Alligator mississippiensis: one gene and its partner. The protein of the gene in region 2 interacts with the protein of the main gene of each other region in a pairwise test. Links are inferred from orthologs where the notes say so. Each region holds a gene or a part of one and is shown on either strand. Other genes may lie near its edges.

Region 1 (7,227 bases), on a different chromosome or scaffold from region 2:
AGATGCCTAAATCCAAAAGTGCACTCCTGAGAGCCTCCACTTCTCCTCTAGCTTTTCACTAGTAAAGTTCTCTCTAACATCCTGATTCTAGAAATGCTAGAAATGTCTCCATTGGTGCTGAGCAGTTCAGCACCTATCTCATGTCTAAACCCCTTGGCCTCAATAAACTAAGTGTGCCCCAGCTGACATCGCCATTAGACATGTTCAGGGTATGCCTAGTATGCATCTGCAGGGCTCTGTCCATTGCATGGAAGCATGCCAGGCACGTAAAAGACAGGCACTACAACATTCAGCGATGCAGTCCTAAAGCCATGTGTGATTCTAGCCACGTGCTGACTCTGTAGCACAGATCAGCCAGGGGCCCGTGCCTTCATCAGCAGAACCATACTTTATTTTAATTTCTGTGGGTGAAATCCTGCTTTCCTGAAGTTAAAGTCAAGGTTCCCTTTGACTTCAGAAGCCTACTATTTCTCCCACAATGAACTGTTAGAGACTTAAAGCTTTGTATGTAATCCTTGAAGTTAAGGGGTGTTCCCCATTGAGTCAATGTATCTGTGCTCCAGCTCTGCCACTGACTTGCTAACTGACCTTTGGCAAGTTCCTTCACCTCTTTGGATCTCCTAGCATTCCTCCCTAAAAATTGGGCTAAATCATGGTTTCAACTATCTGCAAAGTGACATTTTTCTCCAAGAGCTGATATTTCTCCCCAGGGTATTCTGCATTTTAGTTTTCACAAGCTCCTTTGAAGTCCTTGATGAAGAAGTATAATGGTAGCTCTTGAAAGCTTGCTGTGGTTTACCTAAGATAAATATATAAGATTATCTCAATATTTGCAATATTCCCTTGTCCAGGTACAAGCTAAAGGCACTACCTTTAATACTGCAAATACTAAGGTTATCAAACTACAAATACTTTTCAGTAAGTAGCAACGTCAATTGGAAAAGCTTCAAGAGCCACTACTGTAGTGCAAAAGTGAAGGATATTCGTGGTTTTTTCTGATGACATTTCACCAGTGAAAATCATATCTCGCACCTTATACTAAGGGACTATGTTAAATCCCAGAGAAACAGCCTGGCTACACAAAAAAACAGTGCTTAGAATTTTCAAAATCTGCAAGTCCTATTTTCAAAAGTTAATTAGGTGCTTAGGAATCATTTGAAAGTGGGATTTAGATTTAGGTTCCTCAGTTCTTAAGTCAAAGGTGCTTTGGCATTTTTTACCCATCACTTGCATTTTCACATGGGGTGTAAAACAAAATTAGAAGCGAGGACGGGTGTATAACATGGGGGGAATGAAACCAGTCTAATGCTATCTTGACTTGAGGACAGTTTGATGAACTCTTCACATGAGAATAGGTGAATCTGCAGTATGAATAGTGTTGAAGATACAGTAGGAAACCAGCTCAGTAGCCCTGTTCGAGGGCTGTACAATTGCATGTTTGCATAAATGATATAGTGTAACTAATGCCATTCCCTCCACATTTAGAAATTAACTTCAAATCATTAGGACCATCTTCTACCACAGCAATGTAGAATATTTCTGATGCAGAGCAATTATAAGACAAGAAAGGGCTAAATATTCACCAGAGAAAATTGTGTGTCCTCAGGGAGACACTAGGATTACACCCCCCAGCCTCACCCCCATTGTATTTCAGGAGTCTGAGAAGGATTATTAAGGGGAAGCATAATACCCTGGTGCTTAATCGAGGATGCCCGTGTGAGTTGTTTCCCTGTATCCTCCTAAATTGCACAATCAAATAAAATGCACATTTAACGGGCAGCTTATTAGACGCACAAGCTGGGACACACTTATCCCACATCTAACTCCACTGACTTCTACAAGAAGGGACAGGACCCAGGGTGCTTGAACCAACTCTGCCTCTTGCTCTGATTATTTTCTTTTCTCTTACACCATAAGTCGCAAAGGGCAGATAGTGCAGGGGACATGCTACAAAGCAGCAGTGTCTGTAAGGCTATACATGAAAGCGAAGCTGTAGTTAGAATGAAGGTAGCTGTAGTCGCTTAGGGCTCTCTCACATCCATGTGGGGAAAAGCATTTATTGTCTCCCCTGCTCCCTTCCTGGGTCCCTCTGTCTGGTCTTTAATTAGGTATTTTTTGGCTCAGGTGTGGGAGAGGGGATGCTCTTGTGGACCCTGGTGATTGCCTGTGATAGCCGGGAGCTTGTCTCAGCAGCCCGGGGAGTCCATTCCAGTCCTAATGAAAAGTTCCTGTGTTGCATTGTTCCAGAAAGAGAGCGCTTTGCAGGGCTCGGGCTCTACCAGATCTGCTCTTAGCTAATAAGCCATACTGAGGAGGCTGTATCCCTCAGAAGGAGCCAGGATCACATTTGCCAGAACGTCTGTTCTCGCTCTGCCTTTCTCTTCAAGGTGTTTCTCTCCCGCCACCCTTGGGAAACCCACTCCCCTGCTTTTCCGCCAGGCCCCCGGAGCCCTCGTACACCTGGGGAAGCTCCCCTTCCTTGGGTCCATGTAGGTTTCACACGTAACCATCTGCTTGAGGAAGACTTTATAATAACACATCATTAAGCATTGATTTAAAGACAATCATCTTCCCTCTCTTTAATTTCACAGCACCTTTAAAACAGCTGCTAGGCTGCAGCAGGGACGATCAGCCAGACAGGAAACACATTGTTAGCTGCTCGCATTAAAACAGTAGAATGCATTAATTTATGAGCTCCTACTCGCTCTCCAAACGTTTTATTATGTTAATATCACCTTGATGTGTTGGGTAGGCCCTTGTGCCAAAGCCTCATTCGCACAGTATGTGCCATCCTAAATTACAGGCTGGATCCGTCCTGGAGCTGCCTTTGGAAAACTGGAGTAAACCATAAAGCACTAAAGTTAATATTATCTTACAGACTAACAACCAGTTAATACTCGACATGTGAATTCCATTTACTTCTTCTCTATATAACAAATAGCAAGTGTGGGATTGGACTGGTTCTGATTTTATGCAATTTATCTTCTTGATCCATTCCATATTCAGACACACATCCTTTATTTTTCAGCTATAGTTATACCCTGTGAAGTCAGAGCCCCTTAAACTTGGGAACAGCCAAGAGACACCCCGGCTTAAATTTTAAATGGTCCCTGCCCTGTCAGTGTCTCTTGGCAGCACAGGGATGCCACTGGAACGCCTTGGGTTTTTGCTATTTTTTTTTTCTGCACATGTGGGGAAAGGCAGAAAGAAAGAAATCTTGGAACTGAAGTCGGTGAGCATGGAAACCCCTGAGAGTCGGCTGAACTAATGCAAAGGGTCTTAGGAAAATGGATGGAGAGATGGAGAGGCAGATAGGCCAGATCACTCGATGGGTATAATTATTAATTTATTCTCTAACCCACAAAACACTCCCAGTGACGAAGGGTTCCTCTAAAGGCCAAGAATACAAAGGGTTCCTGCAATACTGTCCATTTCATCCTCTGGCTGATAGTATTTCTTGCTCTCACTTTGGTTTGGGCTCCAGCCTCATTGTGTGAATGCCACAAGCTTTCAGCCCCAGCACCAAATCTGCCCGGCTACCAGGCTTTATGTGCAAAATACCAGCTCTGACTTTCTACCAAATATTCTGCCCCGAGTCCTTTGCCTTCTTGCACTCAGCCTGATTAGCTCCAGCCCCGGGTTCACTTAGGAGTTCATTGCAACAACAAAGTGGTTAAAATCCCAGGTTTTTCCAGGGGCTTTTCCTTAAAAGAAAAAAAAAAAGTTGGTAACCCCTCCCCCACCCTCCCAAAAAAGGCCAAGGGAAATGAACTCTAATTGTGTCCCTTTTCCTGGCACCGGGGTCCTGTGAACTGCAGGCCTGGCGGGGAACACTGCATGCCTTCAGTAATGTGCACACACCTCTGGCCCAGTGATATCTTCTAATCCTGACTTCAACCCAAGGGCAAGCAGAAGTCCCCCCCAGCTCCTACCCAGAAGAGAGGAGCACAGACCAGGAAAATCAGAGGCCTTTTCTTCCCCTCCTCTCCCCCTGCTTGCAAATCCCTAGCCTCCGAGGCCTTCCCCTGCAGGTTGAGCCTGTCTCCTGCCTATGGAGCGATGCAAGGGCAGGTAAGGCCGGCTCCAGCCACTGGGGAGCAGGCCTGGGAGCAGGGAACCAGCCGCCCTCCTGCCAGGGGGATCCTAGCACAAGGGGCAAAAAGGAGGCGCTGCCTCCCGGGCCGGGCTCGGCAGCCTTCCCCGCTCCCCGGGGCGGGCGATGCAAGGCGCTGGGGGCCAGGGGAGCCCCCACCTCTCTCCACCCCGCTGTACGCCCAGCAGGAGGCGCTGCGCGGCGGCGGTGGCCGGGCCCCGAGCAGCCCCGGGGCCGGGCCAGGCTCGCCTGTGCCGGCTCCCGGAGAGACCCTGGCGCGCACGGAGCGGCGGCGGAGAGCAGCTGGCAGTCAGTGGGAGCCCGCAGGTGGGGCGGCTCGGGCTGCATCCCCCCGTCCGGCCCGGGGCAGCAGCTGCATTTCGGTGCAAAAAAATAACACCAAGAATCCCAACGCTGCGCCCCTCCCCGCGGCCTCCGGTCGGTCGCCCGGGAGCTGGTCCCTAGGCTCTCGCGGAGGAGGGCAGCTCCCAGGTGTGCGCTCGCCTCGCAAGCCGCGGGGGCTCAGCAGAGGATCGGGCCCGGGAGCTGCGCTGCAGCCGCGGGGAGTCTCGGGCTGGGCGCCCGGGGTCGGCGCCTGCAGAGCCCGTCTCCAGCCGGCTCCACGGGCCCGAGGGCTCAGCTTCATAGCGGCGAGAACCGGCCCCGCGGCGTCCCGGGCAGCCCCCGGCTCCGGGCGGCTCGTGGCTAGAAGTGGAAGGAGAGAAGCGGCCGGAGCCGGGGAGGGAAGGCGCGGGGCTGCCGCACAGCCGTGCCCCGAGGGCTTGTGCGAGCGGCGTCGCCGTCCAGGGGGCAAGCAAAGCGGGATGGTGCCGCCGCCCCGCGAGCCGTCCTGGGCTGAGAGCCCGGCGGGCTGCGGGCGTCCCGGGCTCCCTCCTGGGCGAGAAAAGAAAACAGCGGTGATGGTGAGGATGAGAGCAATGACAGTCCTGAACACAGGAATAGCAGTAATGATAGCAATAATAGGAACGGGAATCGTCTTGATAACGAGAGCAATAATAATAGTTATAATAAGGATAACAATCGTGGGGGTGGTGATAGCAATAATAATAACAACAATAATAGTAATAATAATAATAATGATGATGATAATGATAGCAATAATGATGGCAATAGTCATAATAATGATAACAGCGATGATAATAAGAGTAATAATGATGGCAATAGTAATAATAATGATGATGATAACAGCGAAGATGATAAGAGTAATAATGATAGCAATAATGATGGCAATAGTCATAGTAATGATAATAACAACAGTAGTCGTTGTAACTGGAATGATGATAGCAATAATGATGATAATAGCAACAGTAACAAAAATTATAGCAATGCTGATGATAGTCATGATAATAATAATAATGACAGTAATAATAATAGCAATAATAATGATGGTGCTACTAATAGTAATGATAGCGATACTAATTATAGTACTGATAAGGAGAGCATAATAATGATGGTGATATTAACAGTAATGATAATGATAGATAATCGTAATAGTAATAATAAGGGTAGCAATATTGTTGATAGTAATGATAATAACTAATAATAACGATAGTAGTACTGATGACAATAATAATGCTATAATAATAATAATGGTGATAGTAATAAAGTAATATTAAGGGTATTAATACTAATAATGATAATAAAGATTATAGTAATAATGGCAACAATAATAATGATGGTGATAGTGATAACAGCAATCGTAATAATAATGATAGCAGTACTAATGATGATGATCGTAATGATATTAATAGTAAAATAAGGAGAGCGATAATCATGATGGTGATAGTAATAGTAATGATAATAGTAAAGTCATAAGGATATCAATACTGCTGATGATAATGATGATAGTAATAAGGATAGCAATAATCATGATGGCGATAGTAATAGTAATGGTGATAATAATATCAATAATACTAATGCCAGCAAATGTTGCTGACGATGCTAGCAATGGCACTAGAGAGGTAACAGTGGCAGTGATGTTAGGATAACGGTGGTGCGGAGAAGCACGGGGCAGTCATCATCACAGACATTGCTACTTGCCCGCTCGGTGCCCGTGCTCCGTGTGTGGGTCCTTGTCCCAGCGGCCGCGCGCGGAGCTCGCTCGTGTCTGCCCTGCCGGTGCCCGGTGCCCGCGGAGCTGTTCGGTGAAACCGCTGCTTCTCCGAGAGTTTCTCCTGCGCGTTTCCTTCTTGGGCAGGGCCGGTCCGGGCTGCTCGGGCCCTCCCGAGAGCGGCTGGCTTGGCTGCCCGAGCCCGGGACAAACCTGAGGCTTCCTACCAGGCTGCGGAGCAGCGGCCCCGCTCCCCTTGACGGCTCCTTTCCTTGTCCACACAGATCCGTGTCATGGAGCCGAGCCCGTCCCGGAGCGTCCCCGCCCGCGCCGCCGCAGGTAAGACGGCGCCGCTGGGCCCCGCGGGGCTCAGCCCGCGGTTCTCCGGCTCGGGGACGAGTCTCGGACACGTGTCGCGCCGGGGTCCTTAGGTGACACACGGGGGAAGCTCTCGGGCCGGAGCGCCGCTAACGCGGGCTAAGTCCCGTCTGCCCGAACTGCCCTGGAGCCGGGGTTCGGGGCTCCCCCGCGCCGCGGCCGCTCGCAGGCTGTCGTTCCTGGTCGCACGGGCCAGCTGCGATCCGAGGAGGCTCCCGTGCTGCGTTTGCTCTGCAAGGGGGAGCGAAGCCCCGGCATTTACCCCGCGCCAGGGGGGAGCAGACAGCCGCTCGCTTTGCTGCGCCGGAGCAAAACCAAACTCCATCTCTCTTTTTGCGGGATCGGCACGAAGGGGAATTGTTTCCCGGTCCCAAACAGGAACACCAGGTCCCGGCGCGTTGTTACAGTGGTTTCAGCCTTGTAGGAAATGTCCCGATGGGGGGAAACGTGTCTCTCTCCCCCCCCCCCCCCCCCCAGCGTCCAGGTCCTGCAGCAATGAAGCAAGGGGAGTGGGGAGGGGGGCACCCAATGGAAACATACTCTCCGATTGCTCTTGTGTTTGCAGAGCCGGAGTCCGTCCCTAGGTGCTGGCGACACCCCGGGTCCCGGCTCCATCCACAGCTGCAGAAATAAGGCGCTGGGGGGGGGGGTGTTTCTGAATCTAAGACGGGGCCGATCCCCGCGC
Region 2 (7,517 bases):
TGGAGTGGTTCCTTATTTATACAAGTTTGACAGCAGAATCAGGTCCCAGGTACACAGGGATTATTGCCAAGTCCCTAATTCTGTTTAGGACTTTGTCGCTGGCGTTCCCATCTGATCACCTTTCACCATCACCGCATCACTCTCTCATGGGCTTACTCCGGTCAGACTCCCCAGCCTTATTTTAATCAGATTTTGCCCATGCCCTGTGCCTCTCTGCTGTTTGTCCTATGCAAGCCTAGCTCCTGGGATGCAGCTGGAAATAAGATTTTACCACTCTAGGATTCTCTCTCCCAACAGGCAAGCATCTGCTGATAACTTCATCTTGGTGTTTAATAAGCATAGTCATGAAGATCAGCAAATAGGCCCTCTCGAAGCTGCACTGGGCATGCTCCCCTGTGGAAGGCAGCCCCCAAGCCCAGCACAGCAACACAGAGTCTGCTCTTCTGTTAAACTGAGTGTCATTCATCATGAGAAAAAGTGACAGTTCTAGGAGATGCCTGTGTATAGTGTATGACAACTGGCGCAGCGGGTGCATTGCTACAATTACGGTCCCTTGCTGGCCCCTTGCTTCCTGGATAGGTCTATGCCCCAGCCTGTCCCTGCCCCAACCCAGGGGTACACAAATTACCCATTAAGCTTATTGGAGTTCTTCTAGGTGCTTCAGAGGAGTCAGGACTTCCTCAAGGTGAGGACCACTGAAGAAGGAATGGCTCCCACCACTCATTCCATACACCCACAGCTGCCCCAGCCTCAGGTACGTACCTCTCTCTTCTCTAAGTTGTCACTGCAGGTAGCTAGTTCTGCTGCCAATAGACATCTGCCCCACAGACCAGCCTTGCTGGCTCACCCTTTCCCCCCATTCATTACCCCTCAACCTCTTTGCGGTGCAATTGCAGCCAAAGTTCCTGCCAAGCTAGTGTGGAGACGCTGTCCCTCAGTGACCTACTTCCAACCAGAATTACTTCCCTGAACCCCAGCTTACCCAGAGGATGCAGAAGGATGGTTCAGTAGTTAGAGCACTAGTGCTGGGAAACCTGGGTTCAGTTTCCCCCACACTGCCACAGACTTCCTGTGCCACTTTGGGCAAGTCACATCCGGATTCGCAAAGGTATTTAGGCACCTAAATTCGCATGGATTTCAATAGGGAGTTAGACTCCTAAATACCTTTGTGACTATGGCCTTTAGTGCCTCTGTTAGCCTCAATCTCCATCTGTACAATGAAGTTACTACCACCACCCCACCTGACCAGGGGTGTTGTGAGGATAAATCCACTGAAGATCATTATGTGCTCAAGAAGTACTCCAGTCATGGAGACAGACCAGACAGAAGAAATATCATCACCTAGAATTCTTCAAGCTTATGCCATCAGAGAAAGAGACAGCTCTGACCAAACCTGGCCAAGTTAAAAACCCAGGATTCCCCAGTTCCTAAAAAACACTCCACAGACTCCTTTCTACTACTTGGGTGACTAGTAACTTCTGAGATGAGTTTGCTTCACTCCTGTTGTCCCTCAATCCTGGCCTGTTTTTGCAAATTCCTCTCCCCCCAAAAAACACATACAAATAAGAGTCAAATCAGTGCCCTTTGTTGGCGGAAAGTGAATGAGCTGTACTTCCTCCAAAATAAGCGCGCAGACAAGCACTGGAAAAATGTGTCTTCACATTATGAATGAACCAAAAAAGGGGAGATTTATTGCAGGGGGTTTAGGCAAATCAATTGTAAGACTCGTAAAACTTTCTAGTTGTTGCAGGGAACTGTAGGTGGAAATGCACAAATACAAATGGGAAGGGGAGCTATTACTGTCTGACTTAGGACCAAATTCTGCTGTTGGCTACAAGTGTGAATCTTGCCTTAGCCATAAATATCAATGGATTTGCACCACTATCACTGAGAGTCAAAGCTAGCTTCTAATTTGTATGTATTGATTCTCCAGTGTGGTACAAACATCACTCAAAAAGGCATTTAAAAACCTGCAACCAATACCCACCAGATATTAGCATAATGAATAAATTAGAAGTCAACGTGCAGCATGTAACAGAGCCACATGTCAGCTCCCATCACACTGACCTAAAGACACACTTACTTGGATTCTTGACATTTTAATCTGGGATCGATTCCCCTGGAAAACAGCAACTGACACAAGATTTTAGTCTTAGAAGACTTCTTAGATTCTGATCCCCTGGTGCTAAAAGCAGGCTAGGTTGAAAAGGCAGAGAGAAAACAGGAAATAGGGCAATAAAAGTAACTTTACCTAAAAGGTCTCAAGGTGACGAGACATCTTCTGACCATTATTTTTCCATCCGAATTGACAGTGATCATTGTTCAAACTTAGCAAAGAAAAGGAAAAAGCAGCAACCTGACACTTTAAACTGCCACACGCTGCCACTCTTCGAAGCTCATGGTTGGCTGGATGAGAAGGATTTGTGCATGGGGCAGTACCAAAATAACCCCAACCGATCCAAGTTCACAGCAAAGGACTACAGGTCTTCTTGTGGAGGTGGTCTCTTCCTCTTCCAAGGGGAAGCCCTCCCTGGCAAACCTTTGTCTGCTCTCGATGAACAACCTTTCAGCAGAGGGAGAGCAACTGAACTGTGTGCACTGGTGGGATTTTGTTGTTGTTATTATTATTGTTATTCACATTTTGGAGGCAGGTGGTAGCTAATAGCAGCACTTCTCTCCGTCCATCTCTCCTCGGAGAAGACAAATCCACTGCTGGGCAAGGTGGGGGAGACCTCGATTCCTGCTCATGGGATCCTTCATCACCCCCACTTTATCCTCCCAATAGCCTCACCTCATCTGGAGTCAAATGCCTGACATCTCCCTGCCAGCGCTCAGCACTTCCAGCTACTTGCTGTCCTCTGGCAATGCTCCGCAGTCAAAAGTCGGCACAGCACTGAGATCCCAGTGGGGCTCCTGATCACATCTAGGGATGCAAAGGTTACAGGATCCAGCTCCATCCCATCCTGGGAGCTCCCTTGCACAATCTTCGGCATCCAGCCCTTCGCTTTAATTTGAGCAGGCACCGCATTGTTTCCACCTGAGAAGGCTGCACTGTTAAAGCAGGGATTGGAGAAAGCTTCCTTGCTAAATTGTGAATTGGGCACCATCTAGTGGCAACAAAAGGGTGTGGTGTAGGCCAGTTTCTATGAAGCAACTATGCTAGGACTGATGCAGAGGTTGCGTTGCTTCTTTGGACTCCCTCACTCCAGAGAATTCGATATCTCATCAGCAGCACATCCATATAGAATTATGGACGCTCTCCCTGGCTGTCATATTGTTTAGAAAACTCCTATTTCAGTGACAACAGCAATTAATATTGCTCATTTATATGTTGATATGCACCCCAAAGCACTTTGCAAATTGTAGACAGGAAGCATCTTGTAAATGCAGCCACTATGGTATGGAGGATGGCAGTCAACTTGGAAACAGCAGGCTGCACAACAGAGGAAGTGAAGACTTTCCAGGAAGACACCAGGACAAACCCCTACACTTATGAGAAGTACCAGAAAATATGTGTAGATAAGACAGAAACTCCAGACTTGAATCCACCTCCCTTATGGTAAGATTTTCAGTGGATTTCACATGGGCATAAAACAGATCAGAATCCAGTTCATTGTTTATGAAGGCTCCATCCAAAAGTCCTCCTGGTGTTAGTGCTTGAGGCTCAGTACATAGATCCCAATAAAAGTGAGTAGTTGATTTTCTGCATTGGAAATAAGAACAAGATATTTGGCCTGAAGATTCATCCATGACGCGTCATGGCAGCACTGACTGCATCCTGTTAACCAACTGCTACAAACACATGTAGGGAACATACTTGTAATGGAGTTTTTGCAGACACACACCAGTGCAACTTTGTACAGAATTGAGCCTTGTTTAGGGAACCACCTGTACTGCTTCCATGATTTCTGAATATCCCCTTAGAACAGCACCCACCACTGCAGCCCTGTTAGCCTTGACATGACAATTAGCAATTCTTGATGATGGGTCATCATTTGACTTGTCTGGGAGTCACCATGTGAAAAGGCAACATTTGCTATGAGGACATCTTCATCTCCTGGAACAAAAAAATAGCAAATGACAGAGGTAGCACTGGAGAAGAGAGGTGATCACAGCCTAAGGAGTTTCAAACAACTGAATTTACTGACCTTCTGAACCTGTCATGGACTAGAAACTGGCCAAGGGCTGAGATGGTGGAAGAGCGGGAGTGTGAAAGTATAACATAGGCACAAGACTGGTGACCAGCTACTCTGTGGTGGGCTGGGAAAAATAAAGGCAGTGTCTACTTTTTTCATTGCTCACTTTGTATAATCTTTGCTCTCGTGAGTCAAGGGGCCCAGAGCTTTGTATGGAGTTTCTCTTTGGAGTGTGATCAAGAACCAAATCTACATAAAGAAGTAAAATGCCACCCTGTTTTCCCATGTACTGAACCTAGCTGTTGACGTGGTTAGCAGAGTTGTCTTGCACGTAGCTGGCTCTGGCAAGCACACAGACACAGCCCAGTCATACTTAGCCCCCCAGCTTCTGTGGAAGGCCAGACCTCCCTCCTTACTCTATGGAAGCCCCTTCAACAGAACTGCTGGTCAGTGCATGAACCAGTTTTCAAGTGAGACATTTTCCCCACCCATAAGAGGAGACAGTTCTGAGGCCCACACAGGGGAGAGGTGATTTCTCACACACACACACACACACACACACACACACACACACACAGCTGTAGACATCTGGAGTCACAGCACGCATGTGTGCATGCACACACACATGCACATGCACATGCACACACACACAGAGGCAAGTGCTAGGATTCTTCAGGGCCTCTGTGATAGCAATGCTGAACCCTAGAGTCACCAGCAGCTCACAGTCCACACACCTTATTACAGCTGAGACCATAGTATTACTGAAGCATCTCCCAAACAGACAGCCACTCAGCCCAAGAGGAATTCTGCTCCTGTGGTTCTGGTACCATCCACATACCATCCATGGAATCATGGCTTTTCCTAATTGCTGTACGTGTTGTTTTCACTGCAGTATAAGGAATAACATACATCCAACAGTACAAAATGAGGCTGTATTTCACAGACCTGATCTTACCAACTCTGCTTCTGAATACCCGAATAGTCCACTAACAAGTCTCTCTTCTATATGAGTCTGATGCCAGCTTCTGGGCTGCTGAACAGATTCCAAGATTGACTGACTGAAACAAAATGAAAAGGGCAAATTTGCCCTAATTTACACTTGAACCAGGCTCTGGATGGACCTGGCTGTAGAGTGTGTGACGTACAGGAAAGGAATGATTTTGACTGGTGCATCTATAATAGTAACATAATGATGTCCTCTTCTGTATTAGATGCGCTTCTACATACAAACACATCTCATGCTTCCTCCCTTCTCTCTGCACCCTTTCCCTCCTTCGTGTGTTCTTCACCTCTGCAGAGACGTCACCCAGGCTGACTCCTATCATACGCTTTCCTGGTGCCACATTATTAATATGACACAGTCACAGTAATGAGAAGACAAACACCCACTCCTTTATAAACTAATTGCAGGGTTCCCTTGCTTATGTAAGAGCCCGGCATTTTCCCATAAGGCTGATCAAGATGAAATGCCATATTATGACTGTTGTGAAACTGTAACTCTTATTTCCATATGAGACCTGGGCACTGATCCTGTTGTCACCTTGACGCAAGTCCACAGTCACTCTGCTAAATCCATGAGCTCCACAGACAAAAAGGCAGTATCAAAATCACATAGGATACAGAATCATTGACAATATACAGGGCTAGAAGGGACTTCAGGATGTCATCTAGTCCAACCCGGAGCTCAAGACAGAATCATCCCTGCCAAAACCATGCCAATAGAAAGGAAAAAGAATCAGAGCTCCTAGATTAGACACAGTTGGACATTTTCCATTGAAATATTTTCCCAACAAAACAGCAGCTTTTATGAAAATTGTCCATAATTTTCAGTGTTTGATGAAAACGGAATGAAAACAAACAGTTTTGTGTTCATTAAATTTTTTCGCAGAGAGAAAATCATTTCCTAACCAGCTCAGAGCTACATAATAGAGGGCTCCATATGCATATTAAGGACAGACAACTCATGTGACTACTTGGCTTATGCTCAGTGGAGATTTGCTGGTAACAAAGGACCAACTACATGCTTCTGGGCCTGATGTGTTAAAGAAAAAATGTTTCTTTGTTTAATTTCCATCAGACAGGCTGCCTCCACTGCTCCTGGGTTATTTAGGGGGAAGGCTCCTCACATGCACACCCTCCCTGCTGGTGAAGATGAGAGACCTGAACATACCAACACCCAGTTCTGCACAACTGGGACAATTTCCAGGGAGAAGGATCCCCATGCAGGAGTATCGGGGCTACATCAGGTCAGGGCTATCACAGGCTGGAGCATGGCAGCCAGATTTGAGGCATACTAGCAGACCTACGGGAGAAGTTTGTTTAGCATAAATAATCTCTTCATCCCAATCAAATCTTCCCATTTTTGTTACCCTCAAGGCTGGCATCGGAGGATCCCTTAGGAGTTCGGCATTTGGTTTCAGGGGAATTAGACATCCAAAACCCATTGACAGAAAGCTTTGAGCATCTACCAGCCTCCAGCTCCCTTGAAAATCCCAGCCTAAATTCACTCATACATTTAATAATAGAAAGCTGGAGATGGAAAGGGAGGTGGCTGAGGCCACTAGGATTTCTACTATTATTACTGTTATTGCAGCAACCAACACCATGTTTCTTCCTGCAGAGGAAGTGACAAATACTTTCTGCTTCTCTGGTGTAGGTTGTAGTCGTGTTGGTCGAAGGACATAGGCAGACGAGGTTCTTTGGGTAAATCCGATATCTTTTATTAGACTAACTAAAAAGATACTAGATTTACCCAAAGAACCCTGACTGCCTTCTGCTTCTCTGCACCGTTAGGAACTCCTGTTACTGCTCTAATTCGGAGGAACAGCTGAATCCTCTCATCCACCTCATGTATACCCCTGTTGCTCACCACTACCAGCTTTGTGCAGAAAGCCAGCACAAGACCTGCGCACTACTGAGGCCTCTCTGAAGGATCCCCAGAAATTCTTCTGTGCTCCTCCCACAGGCGACAGGGCTCAGAGCAGGGGTCACTGGGGCTGGGGACACAGGTTACATATAAACCAGTTTAAGTGAACAGAAACTGGTTTAAACCTGGAACATAACATAAGTTCAGTGCACATAAACCAGCTTCAAAATGGCTGAAACTGGTTTAAGATAACCCTGGTTGAATGTAGTATCAGACTGAACTGATTTGGGTCAAAACAGTTTATGCAACGTCTGTCCCAGACCCCGGTGAAAATCCATGTCTTGTGCTCAGCTGAGGATCACACTTGTCCCTCTGGGCTTGAAAGTTGTGTATTTGCTGCCTATTTTACCACAGCCCCCTTATCATCCCTTCTGGTTCACACTGGCACCACAAAAACCCAACAGTCTCCAGGAAAGAAATAACCGCACCAAAATCTTTGTTCCCAGCTTCATCAT

Evidence for each region.
Region 1: the proteins of MGAT5B (region 2) and PITX1 interact in a two-hybrid assay, tested with the Homo sapiens proteins (2 studies listed by BioGRID). The link is inferred for Alligator mississippiensis from reciprocal best matches to the Homo sapiens genes MGAT5B and PITX1.

The regions. Positions count from the first base shown.
Region 1 is NC_081832.1:70,687,436-70,694,662, reverse strand, and holds the start of PITX1 (pituitary homeobox 1), read left to right. Parts: upstream 1-4,180; 5' UTR 4,181-4,219; coding exon 4,220-4,420; intron 4,421-4,734; exon of another isoform or gene 4,735-4,917; coding exon of another isoform or gene 4,918-5,016; intron 5,017-6,448; coding exon 6,449-6,503; intron 6,504-7,227. UniProt on the Homo sapiens protein: Sequence-specific transcription factor that binds gene promoters and activates their transcription. May play a role in the development of anterior structures, and in particular, the brain and facies and in specifying the identity or structure of hindlimb.
Region 2 is NC_081831.1:14,521,436-14,528,952, reverse strand, and holds the start of MGAT5B (alpha-1,6-mannosylglycoprotein 6-beta-N-acetylglucosaminyltransferase B), read right to left. Parts: upstream 3,091-7,517; 5' UTR 2,320-3,090; coding exon 2,252-2,319; intron 1-2,251. UniProt on the Homo sapiens protein: Glycosyltransferase that acts on alpha-linked mannose of N-glycans and O-mannosyl glycans.